3 linked regions of the Callithrix jacchus genome follow. The protein of the gene in region 3 purifies or fractionates together with the protein of the main gene of each other region. This does not show direct contact. Links are inferred from orthologs where the notes say so. Each region holds a gene or a part of one and is shown on either strand. Other genes may lie near its edges.

Region 1 (6,099 bases), on a different chromosome or scaffold from region 3:
GCAGCTGATGTATTTGAGGTTTATAGTAAAAATTCCAGGATGCTTCAGTAAGAATTTCCAGAGAACCATCTATGCTAAAGAACTTAAGGCTATTTGTTTCTCAGAAAGTGGGAAAATACAATTTGAATGTCTTTCTTCTGTAGTAATGTTTTAATACTTGAGAAACTGTAAATTTTTCTTCCCCAGGACCTTTCCCATTGTATTTATTCCCTTCTTAATTGGTCTTCTCCTCTGTGTCTAAACTCCTCCTAATTCTTCCCTATTTCTCATTCAAGTAAGAAACCCAAGCTGGAGGTAGTAAACCTAATCTGAGATTACAGAAGAGTAAAAAACTTCTGTGGTAGGAGCATTTGTAGTTGAGGCCTTTAAGATTTTATAAGAAAAACAAAATTATTATATAGATGAGGTAAGGAACAATCCCGTGAAAGAGATCATAAATCTTTTATTTTCTAAAATTCAAGATAACAGAAGACATTGGTGTCATTTTATACTTCTTACATTAGAAATAATGGCTCTTGAGCTACTTATTTCTATTTACTATTCCTTAGTTTGCTCTTCAGTCTCTCCACTGTAGTTTTTAAAAGATGCTTGCAAAGTTTTTATTCTGGGTTGTAGGAAATGCACAAAGCAGGAGGCATTTTTTATTTTTTGTCTTCTCCTTAAAATTTTAGAGACTTTCTGGATTTTTTACTTGGGAACTGGTTCTTCATCCATCGTCTTATGTCTTATCTTATATAAGCCCCTTCTTATATATAACACTCGAGTGTGTTCTCAGAGTCTGCTCTTAATTTCTTTCCTCACCAAATCTCTTTCCCAATGCTGTTGCAAGAACATTCCCTCCTCTGCCATCTGCCATTCCTCCTTTTCTTACTTCCTCCTACAGTTTCTTCCTTTAAATATTCTCCAGTGCAGAATGGCTCACAATTTGGCTAATTTGGATATCCCAGAACCAGAATTCTCATAACATTTCTCAAATTTCACATGAGGGATTCAAAGTCGGAGCTGGATTGCTGTCATTATAAGTGATAAGTATAAACATCTGTGTACTGTGATCTTACCTTGATACCGTTTCTACATTCCAGAAAGCAGTTTACTTAAAGAATGACAATTTGTTCTTTCTGATTTTCTTTGGTTGTACCTTTAGATCTTATTGTCCCCTTGTGAACAAGTATATTTATTTCATTTGGAGTTCTTTTATTTTATAAATTAGCCTTCATCTTGTACTCAGCTAACGTATAATAAACATTTGTGGGGTTTGAGACACCTTGTGGAATGTAAAATACATTTAGGGGAGCCATGGGAAGACTGGAAGAGCAGGTTAAACACAGAAGGTCTTCAGGCTAGCTGAACAGCCTGGGTTCTATAAACACAGGGAAGCATCCAAGGTTTTGGAGCAGTTGAATGACTAATCTGAGCTAGGCTTTAGGAGGATGCCTTGGAAATTGGCATGTAGAATAGGCTAGAAAGAAGAAAGACTGAAGGTCAGGTGACAGTTATTGTAAGGCAAGTTTGGGGCTTTTTTAAAAGTAATTATTGACAATGTGAAAATACAAAGGATGTTTCTGACTCTAGGTCATGGATGTGCTCATTGATCTGTGGTAGGATTTTGTTGAAATTCCAAAATAAATGTTCCCTTTCCCAAGACTTTGTACTGTGTGTCCCAACCTTCAGCAAATACAGATCAGAGAGGTGAATTTCTAGGCACATAGATCTGAGTTAAGAAGAAAAACATCATTACCAACACCACACAGTGTTTACTTCGCAGAAATAGGTTTCCTTTTTTGTAAAACAGAATTTCACTGTTAACAGAGTTGAATTTCAACTCATGTGAAATACCTAAAGGGACTGGCTTATCTATGCAGAAAAAAAATGATAATACGTAGAGAGGTAAGATGGCTATTGCCTCCTTAAAGGATGTGATTTTTCACCCATGTTTTCCACCTGTACCCAACTACCTAACCCTATCTAAAGTATCTTAGGGAAGTCAGTGGTAGTTTTCATCACACAGAATGGACTTGTTGACTATGAACCATTATTAAGAAGTTCATGAATCCTGATAACATCTCCTTTTGAGAGGTGAGCCTAGTTCACATAAAGGTTAAGTTTATATCCTTAATTTGCATGTAACCTTTGGTGGTTACAACTGGCACCTCAGTAAAACATTTGCTTTTTACCATCACTAGCTTGCTAGTTTCTTCTCACAACACAGTAACCCCATTCAGATCACTGTATAAATGACAGCTGGAGAAAGGAAGCAAATATGGTTGGATTTTAAATAAACCTGAGTTTCTAAGGTTATTAGGAGCCTCATTCAATAAAATGCACCAGTGCATTTCCTAAAACCATGTTGCTCAAGCTATATGGTCTGTGCTTTCCAGTTTAATTTGCTATTTTCTCAAGTCATTTATTATAAATTGTATTTTCAGACTGCATTTTGTAGATGATACAAATTGTAAAATTTGGGTCATATAACTCTAGTCAAACAGCTTCCATAGATACTGCTATTCTAAAAGTCTTTTCTTCCTTTCCAGTGAACTTGGAGAAATTCCCACACTAAAAACACTACAAGTTTTTGGAATTGTGCCAGATGGTACCCTTCAACTGTTAAAGGAAGCCCTTCCTCATCTACAGATTAATTGCTCCCATTTCACCACCATTGCTAGGCCAACTATTGACAACCAAAAGAACCAGGAGATATGGGGCATCAAATGCCGACTGACCCTGCAAAAGCCCAGTTGTCTCTGAAGCATTTATTGCAGGATGGTGTCTCTTCTTTAGAACAGGGAAAGTAGGCAGGAAGCCCAATTGATGGAGTACTTAGCTAGTTTTATTCTTGGTTTTCCCTTTGCCTTCATTCTGCAAGTATATTAGGGAACCATTTGAGAGGGAAAACTATGCAATCTTGCTTTTTGAAATGATTCTAAAAGCTTCTATCACTGCTTTGCTCTTAAGAGCCAAAGTTGTAGGCCTTTTGAAATCTTGGGAGAGTGAGCCTATAATTTCAAGATACCTTAAAGAGCAAAATTTGAGCCACCTTTTCCAAGTACCCTTCTTATTAAGTCTATTAAGAATCAAGCTTAAAAATTACCACCAGCAAACAATCTTCATAGCTTATATAAGTTTTATCTATTTAATTTTATAGTATTGCTTTATAAGACAGCTTAGAAGAACAATAAGCTATTTGTATTATGAGATGAACAAAAAGAGAATCATAGGATAGTAGCATATGAGGCCATCTTTTCTGGTAATGAGGAAGAGAAAAATGCGTTTTAATTTTGTCTTTAGATTTGAAATTATGTTAATAGAAATTAGTAGCCACTTAATTCACCTTAAAACTTACAAAAGACCAAACATTACAAAAACCAGAGGTATAGAATTGGTATAGGATTTGAAGGCCCAGGAGACAGCTTTCTACGACAGGTTAATTTGAAGTATCTCATAATGTTCATTAAGTTACTGTGTTTCCAGACTTCTAAATTAGATGAGAAATATAATTGTTTTCTAACTTGATAATCAAATTATGTGAACATGGGTCTTTAAGATTTTTAAATGACTTGCTTTGTTTTAGAAAGGTGCTATTAATCTAGTCTCTATTCTTGAACATTTGGATGGAAGAATTCTGAAGTTGCCTGCTGTTTTCCTTTAGCGCTGAGGTTCTTAAGGTTACTTTTGTATTCTAAAATCAAGTATTTTAAATTCTTTTTTTTTTAATGATCTCTCACCAATAATTGTTTGAAACTATCTATTTATAAGGGTATCGGACCTAAAGTCCGAGGAACTGCACTCCCTTCAATCAGAAATATACAATAGAAGCAGGTATATGTTTCATGCAGTTTCAGTAGTATGCACTACTTATACCTATGTAAGAGTTAAAATCCAGATGTGGGACCTTTTGATACCATCCGTGATATTTTTTATAAACTGGTACATAGAAGTGAAAAGATTAAGTTCTACTTCTGAAAAATCACAAAAAACTAGTTTAAATTGACTTCTTCTTAGGTTCAAAATGTAACGCCAAGAAAAGCCAAAACCCATCATTTGTATTAACTTTTTTTTTAATCAAAAATTGTTAACGTTAGAAACATAGTATGAAGTGCTTTAATCTGCTTAGACCTAAGGAAGATTTTAAAGTTGGGTTACACAGGAAATGATTATGCTTAAATTTCTTAGTAAACAGTGCTAAATACTACTTGAAATTATTGTTTACAGATTAGTGACAAGAGCTGGGGTTAGGATTCAGTTGGACTCTGACATCCGGATGCCCTCAAACATACAGAACTTCCAAACTCAAGTCCAGCCATAAGCTATTTTGCCAACATGTCAGAGTAATCTGTATTTTTGTATGTGATTTCTACTTTTATAGACTTGTTTTAAAATAATAAAACACATTTTTATAAAAATGAGTACTTAAGCTAAGTTGTATTCCTTTTTTCTCTTATTTTAAGTACTGTGATTAAAATTTGAAAGCATTTAGTGTGGTATGCCATAGAGGCCTCTAAATAATAACCTTCAAAACAGAGCCCTGGGATGGTCCTTTTCGACCCATCTACTTTATATGCTTGTCACATAAAAAAAAAAAATGATAGTTTATAATGCTTTTTGAAAAGGGGTTAATACAGGCTCATTATCTTTAAAGTGCATCCAGTAGTAATGTATCTACAAAAACATTTGAATTCAAGTGACAAAGGTGATACTCAAGTACTATCAATAAAAGTCAGCTAGTAGCAGTTTTTAAATATATTTGATCAGACTATACTATGTGTTTTAATGTCATTCAGAAACTATTTGAATGTTCATTGTGTGCCCAGAGGTCCTTCAAGAATTCCATTCCTTTTGAACCTTTCCATTCGAATGGTAGAATGGTGATTCCTTTTACATTATCACCGTTATGCCTTGTTTTTAATGATGAAAAACATCAAATATGTTTAAAAAAAAAAAAAGAATATGATGAACCCCATCATCCAATTTCAACTATCATTGACTCCTGGCCAATCTCTCTTTATCCATGATCTCAACCATTCCCCTCCAACACAGGTAATTTTGAAGCAAAACCCAGTCCCATAATTTCCTATTTCAGTATAGACCTCTAAAAGATAGGGATTCTCCTGCATGAATCCTGAAGCATTATATATCAAGATGATATTGAAAAATCCTCAATTCTTCAGTGGGTTTATTTTGCTCAAAACCTAAACACGGTGTACACATTGCATTTGATTTAAATTCTCTAAATCTTAATCATAAGATTTCTTCCTTGTAATTTATTAAAGAAAATGTTATCTGTTCTGTGTTCCACATTCTGGATTTTGCATCTATCCCTGGAGTGATAGGTTAAGGTGTCCCCTATTTCCATAAACTCATAGTTAGATCTAGCAACAAAAGCTCTAGACCAGGGGTGACTTCCCCTGACCCAGGAGATATTTGGTAACATCTGAAGACATTTTTGGTGATCACAAGAGAAGTGCTATTGGCATATAGGCAATAGAGGCTAAGGATGTTGCTAACCTTCCTAAAACAGGACAGCCCCCCAACAACAAGGAATTGTTTGGACAAAACGTCAATAGTGTCAGTGTTGAGAAACTGCTCCAGAGGCTTTTATCATTAAGTTCTCTTTTTTAGCAAGGAGACACTTGATAAGTAATCTGTTCTTCCATTCAGAAACATACCTGTGTTTCGTTTTCACTCCTGCCACTTTACCTCCTCTTGGGCTCTTGATTCCTCTCTAATAGACCCTATCCACAAGCTCCAGAGACATGAGAGACACTAGCCAAGTGCAAAACTTTATGTCTGCATAAAGTGCTTTTTAAACCTGGTGAACCCAATTACACTTCAACATTTATTGACCAACTACAATGTGCAGGATACTGTGTATAAATAGCACAGGGAAAGATGCAGAGCCTATGAGGAAAGAAAGGCAAGTAGTCTAGAGACTGGACAAACTAGATAGAAACCTCTTGTCATTGCATACCCTAACCATGGAACAAGCAAAAAGGCAACTTCCTCTTTCTTTACTGTTCTTCCCCACCTAGCCAAATATTCCAGGAAGTCAAAGTTTTCTTCACCGAGAGACTATAATCCTTCTAGATACAGGTCAAAGCCTTA
Region 2 (5,870 bases), on a different chromosome or scaffold from region 3:
CTGGGTACCCCCACTGTCCTGCCCCTCCCAAGAGGGGGCTTAAATAGGCCAGGCCCCAGCCTGGCGGCCAGAGGTCCCAGGGCCTAGGGCGGACAGAAGTCGGAGAAGTAGGGGTGCTGCAGGGCCTCTTCTGCTGAGATACGTTGGACAGGGTTACACTTCAGAAGGTTCTGGAGATGGGAGAAAGGCAGTGGCAGGTTCAGGACAGGTCACTGCCCAGAGCCTTGCCTTCCTGTAGTCCCTCTGGACAAGTGTCCTGCCCCACCCTCTACCTCTGGTCACCTACCTGCAGCAGGTCCCTCCCTGTGGCATTGAGTTTGGGCACGACGTTCACCAGGGATGTTGTGGCCGGGTACATCGGGTAGGGCTGTGGAGAGGCAGGGAGGGGCAGACCAGGGGTAGGGGAGGGGTGGAGGCTGCCAGGAATGTGAAATAAGAGGGACCCTGATGAACCATGACCCCCTACTCCCCATCACACCTTGTAGTCTGGCAGCTTGGTCATGGAGGGCCACTGTTCCTCGGTGGGCGTCCCCAGCAGCGTGTCCACAGGGTCAAGGATCACTTGGGGAAAGGGTCACAGCTGCATCTTCAGGGACAGGTGAGGGCTTCTTCCCCTCCTGGGAGGGATTCCTCATACCCACCACCCTCTTCTCTCACCCTCCCTTTACCCTCCGGCTTGGGCTTGACAGAAGCAGCCCCAGCATGTCACTCACACATCCAGCCGGTTCCCATGACAATCGCTAACTAGTCTAACCCACATGCTGATGGCCTAGTCTTCATGAACCAGTCCTGCCCCACTCCCACAAAACGTGTCCCTGCTCCCTTGGGCTCCTTCACCCTGGCATCCGTCTCTCACCTGGAGGGACATCCTCTTGACTTCGTCCCCCAGGGCACACTGCCCATCCTATAAGTGGCACCTTCTCCAGTGTGCATATGCTCTGTGACCATCAGGGCGTCCAGCACGCCTGCTCTCTCCCCTTGCCCTCAGGAGAAGCCCTATGGACCCCACCATCCCACCCCATATCATCACTGCCCTTGCCCATTGCGCTAAAACTCCATGGGCTCTCCCCTCCCAGAGGGCTCGAGGCAGAGGAAAATGGAAGGATATCGGAAGATCCTCTTTAACTGGTCATCAACATCATTGCCGGGAAAGAGAGGCCGCCCAGCATTGGCCAGCTCTGGAGGAAAGAGAGGGGCTAAGATGTGACATGTGAAGGACCCCTCACTCTGAGGGACTCCTGACCTTCCAGCCCGTCCCAGGGCCTCCCTTCCTTTCCCCAGCAGAGACCCTCCAGATCCTATTTGTCAACCCAAATGGGAAAGAAGGTGCCTCTGCAGTGCCCAAGCACATCACCTGCAAAGATGCAGCCGGCTGACCACATGTCGATGGACGTGGAGTACAGCTTGGCCCCAAAGAGGACGTCCGGTGGGCGGTACCACAGTGTAACCACCTGGAGGAGACCCCCCCCGACAGGGACCTCCCACTTAGAGGGCTGGGGAGGAGGTTCAAGGAGGAAGCTCAGAGAGGAGAGGAAAATAATGCTTTGGGTCCTGGGGTAGGAGCTGAGGGGCTCCCTCCCTCAACACCACATCCCAGCTGCCAGCTCACCTCAGCTGAGTAACAGCGGACAGGGATCCCAAAGGCTCGAGCCAGGCCGAAATCAGCTAATTTCAACTCCCCATTCTGAGGGGAATGGAAAGGGAACATGGCGAAGGGCCTTTGAGCAGCCTTGGGGCAGCACAGGCTCCATCCTCCCAGTCCTGTTCCCCCAGGCCCTGGTCCTAGCCTCCCCTTCCCCACCTTCTTCCCAAAAGTACCCTGTTGATTAGCAGGTTCTGGGGCTTCAGGTCCCTGTGCAGCACATTGCGGCTATGACAGAATCCCAGGCCTTTTAGCAGCTGGAAGAGGAATGACTGGGGGAAGAGCAGGGAGCAGGGAGTCAGACACCCTGAACATAACTGTGGCCAGCAACTGGCCGGCTCCTCTCCTCACCCTGTGCTTCACTACACTCCACCCACCTTCCAGCACCTGGCTCAGAGTGACACCATTCATTTGCCATCCAGGACCTGCTTTGTACTGTGCTAGGCATTTGAGGGACAACAGTAAACAAGCTGGCCCTGGTCCCCACCTTCCTGAACCATACAGCCTAATGGGCCTTGCCCAGTGGGTCCTAGATCTTGCCTAGATCCCAGCCCATGATCTTCCCTTCCTGGATGCATCTGAGTATGCACACCATGACCATCCACATCAATATCATGGTGTAGTATCATTCAGGACTGGCTCTCCTGGAACCTGGACCAAGGCATTTGATCTTGGGCCCAGAAAAGCACCTGACACCCAGTGAAGCATTCAGTAAGTATGTGTTGAATGAATGAATGTATCTCCTTGAACCTCATTTTCTCATCTCTCGGGTGTAAATATCATTGATGTTACTGATGTCAACATCATATGATGTCCCTCTAATGTGGCCAGATTGGTGTCTGAGAGCCACTGTGCAGGTCAAAGACAACCACGTGAAAATGCTCTCTAGGAGGCCCCTGCGGGGCAGAAACAGGGTTTTCTCTTCCTCTGACACCCTAGAGCGTGCCTGTTCAGGGCCCAAACTTGGTGCCCAAGGAGTGCTTACACTGAAGGCAGACTTAGACCCCAGCCTGAGGGGTCCCCCAACACTCTCCTCACCTTTACAATCTCAGGATCGAGGTCACCATTGCAACTGTCAAAATACTTCTTCAGGTCCTAAAAAGGGATATGAGTGGAGGAATGGGACAGAGTTTAACCTCAGTCTGGGCCCCTATACCTTCCCAAGGCTACTGTCCCCCAAATCCCGCCTTTCACCTGGTCACAGAATTCAAAAACCAAAGTTAGCTTCTTGTCACTGTGCAGGACATCATGAAGCCTAGGGCAAAAGAAGGGCTCAGCCAGGCACGTCTTCCTGACAAATGTCCCAGGTCAGCCCCCACCTCCCCCAAGCAGCCACACCTCCCGCACACCTGACGATGTTCTTGTGCTTCAGCTCCTTGAGTAAGCAGATCTCCCGGAGGGCTGAACTCGGCACACCCTGCATGTGTGAGGGGGCCAGGTGGGCAACAGTCAGATCCCACCCAGCCCAGGCCTTCAACCCCCTCCCCAGCCTCTATCCCAGTCCGCAGCCTACCTCATCATCGTCATCCAACCTCACCCGTTTCAGAGCCACGATCTCATGCGTCTCCCGATTTTTGGCCTTGAACACTGTTCCGTAGGTGCCTAGGGGAAGGAGGTCAGGGGTCAGGGGAGAGGATGGCGCACTCTTCCCTAACCCAGGAAATGCCTCCCCCTGGGAGGTGAAGGCAGCGTCTGAGTGTGCAAGGGAAGGGATTCAGGGTGAAGGCAGGTGGGAGAGCTTTATGAGTGAGGATGTGGCAGGTGGGGAGGGAGAAGGTGCCTGCGGAGGCTCCAGGGGCTCGGCAGGACGACTGCGGCTGCCAGGCAAGGATGTCTATAATGAAGGCAGTGCTCACTATAATGAAGGGTCTGGAAATAGTGAGGAGGTGTCTGGGAGAGGACTGAGGGTCTGCAGCAAGAACCGAGGCTGGGGGTCGGGGTGAGGTTGTCCAAGTGGTGCTGAGGCTAGGGTGAGAAATTCAGGAAGTGTCGCGGTTGGGAGGTCGGGTCTACTGGGAACGCTAAGGTTGGAGTGGGAGCCTACGGGAAATGCTAACACGGGAAGATTGGTGTCTGGATGGAGTGCTGAGCTCGGGGGGCCAGGGCTGCAGCCGCTGTTGAGGTCGGAGCCTGTAGGTACTGCTGACGGTAAGAAAGCCAGGGCTGCAAGGAATGCCGAAGGGTATGCAGAGGAGCTCTTGCAGGAACATCTCGAGATTCCATTACCTTCTCCAATCTTTTCCAGTTTCTCGTATTTCTGCATCGCGGCGGCCGCGGGGACCCTGCGGGCCCTCGGTTTTTAAGACTCTGGCCCTGGCGTTGCAGAGGAGGCGGTACCCCAGCCTCCAGCCCCGCCCCGCCTGCCCGCGCACGGCCTTCTGGGGCTTGTAGTCCTAAGACGACAAGGTTTCCCTGCAGTTCCCGAGGCCGAGGACAAGAAAACTACAACCCCCAGCCGGCTGCGCTCAGGCTCTCTGCAGCACTTGACTCCCGGGCTCTGGTTCCAACGCGGAGGCAAACCCTGGACTTCAAGTCCCAGGGAGCCACGCGTGTCCGTTTTCCGGGCGCCCCGCCGCTGCGCTGCGGTTCCCAGTGTGCCCCGCTGTTGTTATTTCTTTTATGTGTTCCCAGACCTCTTGAAAAGGGCCGCTCCGGGACTACGCGTTCCAGAATGCAGCGGGGATGGGGGCGGAGCGCTGTCCCTTAGGGGTTTGGGGTTTGGCGTTTGGCGGCCTAGAGCCCGGGCCCTGGCGGCCCAACTCTGACCTTGTTGGTGGCCTTGAGTTCCCGACGGCCTCCTGACGACCTCAGCACAGGTTTCCACCTCTCCCCAAGCCACCTAGTGACCCCAAGATTGACTGGGGAGTGCCTTTGAGCGATGATGACCTCACAGGGAACAGCTGACGGCAGGGCTGGAAATATAACAGGTGTGCCTTTTTGAGGCTGGATTTTTAGTGAAGGGGTACACTCCAAAGACCCTTCTCTCCGCTGCACCCCGTTTGTTGTCTCAGCCTTCACTCGACTCCAGCCGCTGAACTCTGATATGCTGAGGCTAGCTGGGTGGAGCCCTGGGGGGGGGTCTCCCTAGACCCCAGTCTCCGGAGCAGGGCCCACTGGAGTCAGCCAGGGTGTGGCCGGCAGGTTGGTTAACCCCCTCCACAGACAAGACCACAGACAGGTGCTCAACTTGCACCAGCCTCTACCTCATCCCTTAAAGGAGTTGATTATAGATTCCGTTGCATTGCCTCTCTAATTGTCTCATGATTGCATTCTTGAGGGCTATGGACTGAGGGAAAAGGATCCCAAACAGCGCTCCTCAGCATCGGAATCAGAGTTGCTGCCAAACACGTATTAACTAACTCGTTTTTATCTGAACGCTTTTGCATACACAATGCTATGCTTCACGTGGCCGACTGGAGAAAAGAAGCGAAAAGTATATGCCTTATCTGGAAGACTTGGTGATTTCGTTGGGTAAACAAAAACTACACACAAAGGTCTTGAATGATAAATGATGGCTATGGCTAGGGTTGATTCAGTGTGAAGGTTCCATTCAAGAGTAAGGAGGCCACCACAGGGAATCTCTGTCCCTCTCAGGAAGTGGGGGGGGCGCCTAACAAGTTGCCCTCTCCCAGGTCAGCTCAGGTACTGAGCGGGTACTGGGCAGCCACCCTTCTCACCCGCTCGCCACCTGAGGCTTTCTTGGAGGCACTGGACTTTCTTGGACGTACGGGGGTTATTTGAGAGCGGGGGGCGGAAGAGAATCTCGACCCCGGTACGTTTCTATTTCGACTTCCTCCGCCCCGAATTTCCTGGCCATCCTTGTGCCTGCGTTTTCCTGCCTGGAATCCCCAGCGCGAGGCGGGATCTTTTCCACTCAGAGGTGCAGTAATTGAGCCAAGAGACGGAATCCCCCGGACGCCTGAGCCCCGAGTAGAGAATCTCAGGGCAGAGGGACGCGGGGGCGGTTCCTAGTGCCGGCCTGTGCCTGGAAGCGCGCCCCCGCCTCGGCCCCTGCTCTCGGCCCCCGCTCCCTCCTCCCCAGCAGCCGCGGCGGGGCCGCGCACGGTGCGCCGGGGGGCGCGCACGCAGGGGGCTGGCCTGCCCGAGGCGCGGGGGAAAGTTGAGTTGGGAGAAGTTGGGAGAGGCGGGGGCGCGCCCCGGGGTGGGCACGGGGCAGTCGTCGGGAGCGCGCGAGGGCGCCGGAGGACGGGGAGAGACCCCGAGACCC
Region 3 (6,011 bases):
CAGTTATGTCTGATGCTCAGTTATGTTCATTGGGCTGCGCACGGGTCAGGACCTGGAGCACTCTGCAGGGGTGGGTGCCCTGGCCTCCGGCCCCTCACTCGGGGCCCACCCTGGAGCAGACTGAGAGCAACTGGGTTCCCAAGTGTCCCTCTTCCTTTACCCACCGCCGGGGGCGCCTTCACAGACAAAGCGTGTGCAGTAGCGGGGAGGGCGAGACTGCACCTGCCCCCTGCCTCCCGCCAACACCCAGGGATCCTGGGAGGGGAGCTCAGCCGCTGGAGCCACCCTGCAGGGAAGCTGTGCAAGGACGGCACCCACCACGTCTCCAGAAAAGTGCATTTCTCTGAAGCCACTTACAGCTCCATAAAAGGCTGCGTGGAGTCTCTGGAGGCCTCTCTCCTCTGAGGAGCCCCAGCCAGAGAACGCCTCCCTGTCTGCTTCAGGACCACCCCCACCCCTCAGACCCATCCAGGCTGGACGGCATTCTTGGCATCTTCATCTGACCACTTTGGGGACTTGCTTGGAAACATGGGGGAGGGTTTCCTGCCCCAAGCAGGTGGAGGAGGTGGGGGAGCTCTCACGCCGAAACCAGAAACCATTCTGGAATAATACACTAACTGCTGGCTACCTGTGTCAGAGGGTGCGCTGAAATAGGTTTGGGGGGGCTCTGCCCTCAAGGGATTGGGGGAGAAGATGCTATTGTGTCTTTGATGTCCCGGACCTTGTGGCCTGTCACCCAGAGTGAGCCCACAAACAGATGTGACAACTGAGGCTTGACCAAAAGGGGGCAGGGCCCCCCCATCAGGGTAACCAGGGAAGGAGGCGCACAGGGGGGTCAGAGGCAGGGCTGGGGACAGCAGGAGGCAGCACCCTGTGTATGCATGTGTCTATCCCAGTTGGGTCCTGGGGCCAGGGCCATGCCAGCGGAGGTGAGGACTGGGTACTTCTGCTGCCCACGGTGGCGGCCTAAGCTGAGACTGCTCTGAAGTGCTCCCCAGGGCTCAGCTGAGCCCAGCAGACTGGCGGCACCCCTGGCAGGGCCTCAGGCAGCTGAGCTCCTCTGCTGGACACCCCTGCACTCAGCTGCCCAGAACACGTGGTGCAGGCGGGCCGACAGCTCTCCCCGCCCCCGGAGGCGCCTCTGGCAAGTCGCCCAGCCTGGGAGAGGCCAGGAGGGGGCCCCCGCAGCTCAGGCTCCTTAAGGACACAAGAAGGGCTGGAGGTCGGTGGGGAAAGGAGGCGGCCCTGCGGCCAAGGTAAACCCCTTTCGGCCTGGAGGATGAGGCCACAGCATCTAGACACAGGCAGGCTGGCTGCGTGGTGGCGCGGCCGTAAGGGCAAATCCCCTTCCATCCAGCGCAAACAAGCCAGCACCTCTGCTCACCAGAGCTGGAAGAACTCTTCCCAGCGCAGGCGGGGGCCTAGGGACGTCCTCCGGGACAGCACCCAGGTGCAGAGCAAGAAGCTGGCCAGGCCACCTAAGGTGCTGGCTTTCAAGGGGAGGCTGGGGGCGGCTGGGCCTGCCCTACCTGTAGCGCAGAGGGCAACGAAGGTCTGCGCGTGTTTGCGGATGATCTGTTTGTTCTCCTCCGCCTCTGGCATTTTGGAGAGGAAGTGTTCGATGAAATCGTGCGGGGTCATGGCGGCCAGGTTCCACTTGAGCTTGTTCACCAGGAGCAGCTCCATTTGCTGCGAACACAGGGTGAGCGGCTATCAGGGGAGGTGCGGGCCGGCCTGGGGACGCGGGGAAGCCGGCAGTATGGCCCTAGCCCCTGAGTCTCGTGTGGTCCTGGGGGTGCGGGAGCAGGACTGGCGAATGCTGGGGGGTCCAGGAAGCTGGGGCAACACACGATCCCAGATCAAAACAGAAAAGGCGCCCGCCGCGTGAAAAGATTCTGCAAGTGGAAACAAAAAGACTTCCCACCACCTGGAACGGAAGGCTCAGCGTGGAGCGCGGCGTTCCCGGTGCAGCCGCTGGAGGGCGCGCGCCGCCCATTTTTCGGCCACACCGCAGAGCGCTAACGAGGTGGGAGTCGCAGGCAAGCGCGCACGGGGCGGCTAGGATCCCACCCGCTCCCAGGACGAGGACACCCGGCAAAGGGGCCGCCTGCCGCCCCTGCACCTTCCCCGGCCCGGTGGTCCTGCGGCTCGCGGGGGGCGGCGGGGGTCCCGCGGTTACCAGCAGCTCCTCGGGCTGGATGGAGTTGTCGGTGTAGATGCACAGCTTCTCGGCCGTCAGGGGGATGGTCTCCTTCATCTTAGAGGCCACGAACATGCAGGTGGCCCCCAGCAGCTGCAGGCGGCTCTTTTTCACTGGCTCCAGCGACAGGAAGCGGTCCAGGTAGTTCATGGCCAGCGGGAAGACCTCCTCCTCGCACTTCTGCTCCTCGCAGACCTGCGGGGGCACGGGGCCCGTGACCGCCGCCGCCAGGTCGCGCCACCCCCACCCCACTCCCCCGCCCTCGCATGCCCATCGCGCTCGGCAGGACCACCAGTTCTGGAGGGCGCCGAGGGGTCGGGGCCGGGGGCGGCAGAAGCTTCCTGTGATGCGCCCCCTCTCGCGCGCGTCCCGAGTATCCACCCTCCCTGAAACTGAAAGGGAAAGTCCCCGCGAGGCTGGCATGGTGGGGGCGGGAGCGGGCACAGCTGGGCGGCGGCGCGGGCTGCAGGCCCCGGGGACCCCAGCCCGCCCTGGAGCTCCGTGGCCCCTCTGGCTGTGGGTCGACACCCACTGGGGTGCGGGGCCGCGCAAAAGGCCGCGGGGTTGGGCGCCGCGCCTGCGAGACACAAAGGTGGCGTCCCAGGCCGCCGCGCCGCATTTCCCCAGACGTCATCTTTTCAAAAAATATTTAAAAATATTTAAAAAATAACTAAGTGCGTAAAAATACCCTGAAAATGACCCTCGGACGGCCCTTTACCCAGGCCGGGGGTCGGGAGTTTGTTACAGGGTCCGGGGGAAGCCCCAGGAATTCAAACTCCGGGGACCCCCTTCCCCCTGGGCGCGGGCGGTGTTTCCCTCTCGCAAGGGCACCACGCCGCACTTTCAAAAATTATTTAAAAATACTTGCGGGCCCCTCAGGCGCCTACCGAAGGTGTGAAAATGTTCTCCCAGGCCCCCGGCTCGCTCGGAGAAGGTCCCCCAAGCCGAGATCCCTGCAGACGGGGATCCAGCCCTGGCGTCTTGGGGGCCACGCGACCTTGCAGCTCGGCGTGCTCTCCGGCCCAGGCTGCCCGTGCGGGGCGCTTTGGGACTCGCTGCTTGAACAAAGGCCCCCCTTTCCCCAGCGGGGTCCCCCCAAAACTACCCATGCTGCGTCCCCGCGCCCCTCCCGCGGGCTCCGGGCAGCCGCCGGGCCCCTAGTTGCGGCCCCAGCGCCCGGCGGCCGCTCCCCGCCCCCACCCTGCCCCCAATTATTAATAAACACTTTTGCTGTGCAATAAAAGAGCAAAGATGGCGCATAATACTGGCACGAGAAGCCCTTGCATACGTGTCCATGGATAGTAATTTAAAAATCAAATCTATGCCCCCTCCCCCCGGAGTTGGAGGCTCTCGGCCGCGGCGGCCGGGAGAGGAGCCGCAGCATGGCTGGGGCGCAGGCGGGGGGCACAAAGCGCACCTAACCTGCCAGCCCGCACCCTCGGGCCCATTGGGGTGCTCCTGGCACTGGCTTCTCCTGGAGGCACCCCTCCCCGACCCCCTCCTCCCGTCCCAGGAAACGCAACTCCTAGCACCCCCACCCCCACCCCTTCCTTCTTCAGAAAATACCCACAATTTTTATTTTGAAAATACCTAGCAACACCCCGGCAAACTTCAAAGGTCTAGCGGGAGAGAAGAGAGGGGAGTGAGAAGCAAAGAAACGTGGGTATGGGCAACAAGTTGCAGGGAGGTCTTAAGAGAGCCGCCCGAAGCCCCGCACCTCCAGCATCCAGGTGGCCACGATCTTCCGCATGGACGGCAGGACCTCCTTCTGCACACATTTGAAGTAGGACACGGAGGGTGCGCAGGTCTCCTCCGCCTTCAGCATGGCCCGCAGCACCCGGTCGTTGAGGAGGTTGGCATCGGGGTAGGCGCGGCGGATGGCCTCCACTTCGCAGCACAGGAGCTGGTGTTCCATGGCTGGGGCTCTGCCTGGGCAGCTGGGGAGGGCTGTGGGTTCCGGCTGCGTCCGCGCTCGGCTCTCGCTCCTGCTGCCCCGCGCTCCCTCGCGCTCTTCTGCCCCTCGCCGGAGCGCGCGGACTCTGCTGCTCGCGGCTACTGCGCCGACAGCCCTCTGGAGGCTCCAGGACTTTGCAACTTCAACAAAACTCCCCTGTAGTCCGTGTGACGTTACTGTTGTTAAGCAGAGATCAAAGCCGGGCAGAGAATGGGAGCGGGAGGGGGCGGGGGCGGGCGCAGGGGGAGGGGGCGCGGGCGCCAAACGCCGGGAGCAGCGAGGGGCAGAGCCCAAAAGCCATCCCCGAGGCGCCGCGCCTGCCCTGCGGCGGAGTTGCCCCCGTAGTCCGGTTTTCATAGAAATGCAAATCGCCCCGCTGCAGCCTTTCTCCCCGCCAGAAAAGAGGGGTACAGGGGGCCCGGTCCGACTCGAACGGGTCCCCCGGGATTTGGGGGTGGGGTGGAGGTGGCTCTGCAGTAGGGGACAACTGGGAAGCCCCACAGGCCACACGCAGCCTAGGGAGACCACGAGGAGGGGGGACTCCGGGGCGCGGCGACACCCCATATCCAAGCCGGCAGAATCGGCGCATTTCCAAGAACGCCACGAGGGCACCCACGAGCGGACAGACGGCCAAAGAATCTCAGTTTCTGCATCTCCTTTCATTTTCATTAACACGTGTAAATTTCAAGAACTATTTAGCATGCAGGGACGGAGGACAGGGCACACCACCCAGTGCACTTTTCATTTCGGCTCACATGGGGGTTGTTGTAAATGCCCAAGGGGGTAACCCTAAACATTTAAGGGATTTCAGCTTAGCACGCGTTCGCTCAAAAAATAAAATAAAATAAATGCCCGAAAATTCCAGCCGCAGCCCAAGATGGTGGCCAGCATTTCCTTCATCTTGTCCTTCTAGCCTGGAGACTCTTCGGGCTGTCTTCCTACCTTGACCAGTCCATCCTCGCGGGGGTCCCCAGATGCACCCCCTCCCTTCCGGTGCCGGCAATTTAACCGGGCCAAACACATCTCTGAAAGGACAGCCGAGGAACAGTGATCTCCGTCCTGACTCGTTTTTTAATTAAAAAAGGAATTAAATTGCTGGAAATATTAGTCGCCTCTGCCTGGGACAAGACCGCCGGAAGGTTCCTAATTGGTTTTGTTGGGGGTGTAGACGTCCTTTCACCTTTATAATTTGCCCCGGGTCTGCACTGGCGAGCGTGAGGGGGCTGGCAAGGGCGGGCAAAATAAAGGACACTTATCAATTAAACAAATGAGTGTACTGATCTGATTTTTAACAAAATCGATAGGCGTTCGTGGTTATATGAGAGGGTCCCCAATATTATCGCAAAGTTAAGCAAGTGTGAATTAAAATACATGGTGTTTTTTTTTTTTATTACAGGTTTTGCCTCTTTGGTGCATTTAAAAAAAGGACATTTTACTGTCTTAACTTTTTTGTTTTGTTTTACAATACCTGCCCCTAATTAAGAAAACTTCATTTACTTCCTTCTCAATATAGTTTAGTGTCATCAAACCACCGTATCCTCTTAACAGTAAAAGCTCAAAGAAAAGTGATAGAAAAAGTCCCCTCCCCTTAGCCAGGGTGCTCACAGCAAGATTCGACCCCCTCCCACCCCTACCTTTCAGGGCGAATTCCTCTCGCGCCCCCTCCCCCGCCCGGAACTAGGATTACTAATATTTCGGGTTCCGGGGGGGTAATTACCCCTAGATTGCGCATGGGGAGCGGTAGGTGACCCCAGCAGGGAGCACCCACCGACGTGCCTCCCCACTCCCCGGGCACCCACAATCGCGTCGGCCCCGGTATAGCCAAGCCTCAGAGCATCCGCCCGCGCACGAGGGCGG

The links.
Region 1: the proteins of CCND1 (region 3) and SKP2 purify together in Homo sapiens (affinity purification with western blotting; 3 studies listed by BioGRID, with this or other methods). This does not show direct contact. The link is inferred for Callithrix jacchus from reciprocal best matches to the Homo sapiens genes CCND1 and SKP2.
Region 2: the proteins of CCND1 (region 3) and CDK5 purify together in Homo sapiens (co-immunoprecipitation; 4 studies listed by BioGRID and IntAct, counting the BioPlex papers as one, with this or other methods). This does not show direct contact. The link is inferred for Callithrix jacchus from reciprocal best matches to the Homo sapiens genes CCND1 and CDK5.

What each region holds. Positions count from the first base shown.
Region 1 is NC_133503.1:169,454,581-169,460,679, reverse strand, and holds the end of SKP2 (S-phase kinase-associated protein 2), read left to right. Parts: intron 1-2,531; coding exon 2,532-2,745; 3' UTR 2,746-4,400; downstream 4,401-6,099. UniProt on the Homo sapiens protein: Substrate recognition component of a SCF (SKP1-CUL1-F-box protein) E3 ubiquitin-protein ligase complex which mediates the ubiquitination and subsequent proteasomal degradation of target proteins involved in cell cycle progression, signal transduction and transcription.
Region 2 is NC_133512.1:97,154,473-97,160,342, reverse strand, and holds the start of CDK5 (cyclin-dependent kinase 5), read right to left. Parts: upstream 3,952-5,870; 5' UTR 3,906-3,951; coding exon 3,869-3,905; intron 3,245-3,868; coding exon 3,156-3,244; intron 3,060-3,155; coding exon 2,992-3,059; intron 2,898-2,991; coding exon 2,837-2,897; intron 2,738-2,836; coding exon 2,681-2,737; intron 1,915-2,680; coding exon 1,819-1,914; intron 1,685-1,818; coding exon 1,610-1,684; intron 1,452-1,609; coding exon 1,355-1,451; intron 1,179-1,354; coding exon 1,109-1,178; exon of another isoform or gene 857-1,108; intron 562-856; exon of another isoform or gene 540-561; coding exon 479-539; intron 368-478; coding exon 287-367; intron 171-286; coding exon 84-170; 3' UTR 1-83. UniProt on the Homo sapiens protein: Proline-directed serine/threonine-protein kinase essential for neuronal cell cycle arrest and differentiation and may be involved in apoptotic cell death in neuronal diseases by triggering abortive cell cycle re-entry. Interacts with D1 and D3-type G1 cyclins.
Region 3 is NC_133511.1:126,557,726-126,563,736, reverse strand, and holds the start of CCND1 (G1/S-specific cyclin-D1), read right to left. Parts: upstream 3,393-6,011; 5' UTR 3,310-3,392; coding exon 3,088-3,309; intron 2,396-3,087; coding exon 2,180-2,395; intron 1,690-2,179; coding exon 1,530-1,689; intron 1-1,529. UniProt on the Homo sapiens protein: Regulatory component of the cyclin D1-CDK4 (DC) complex that phosphorylates and inhibits members of the retinoblastoma (RB) protein family including RB1 and regulates the cell-cycle during G(1)/S transition.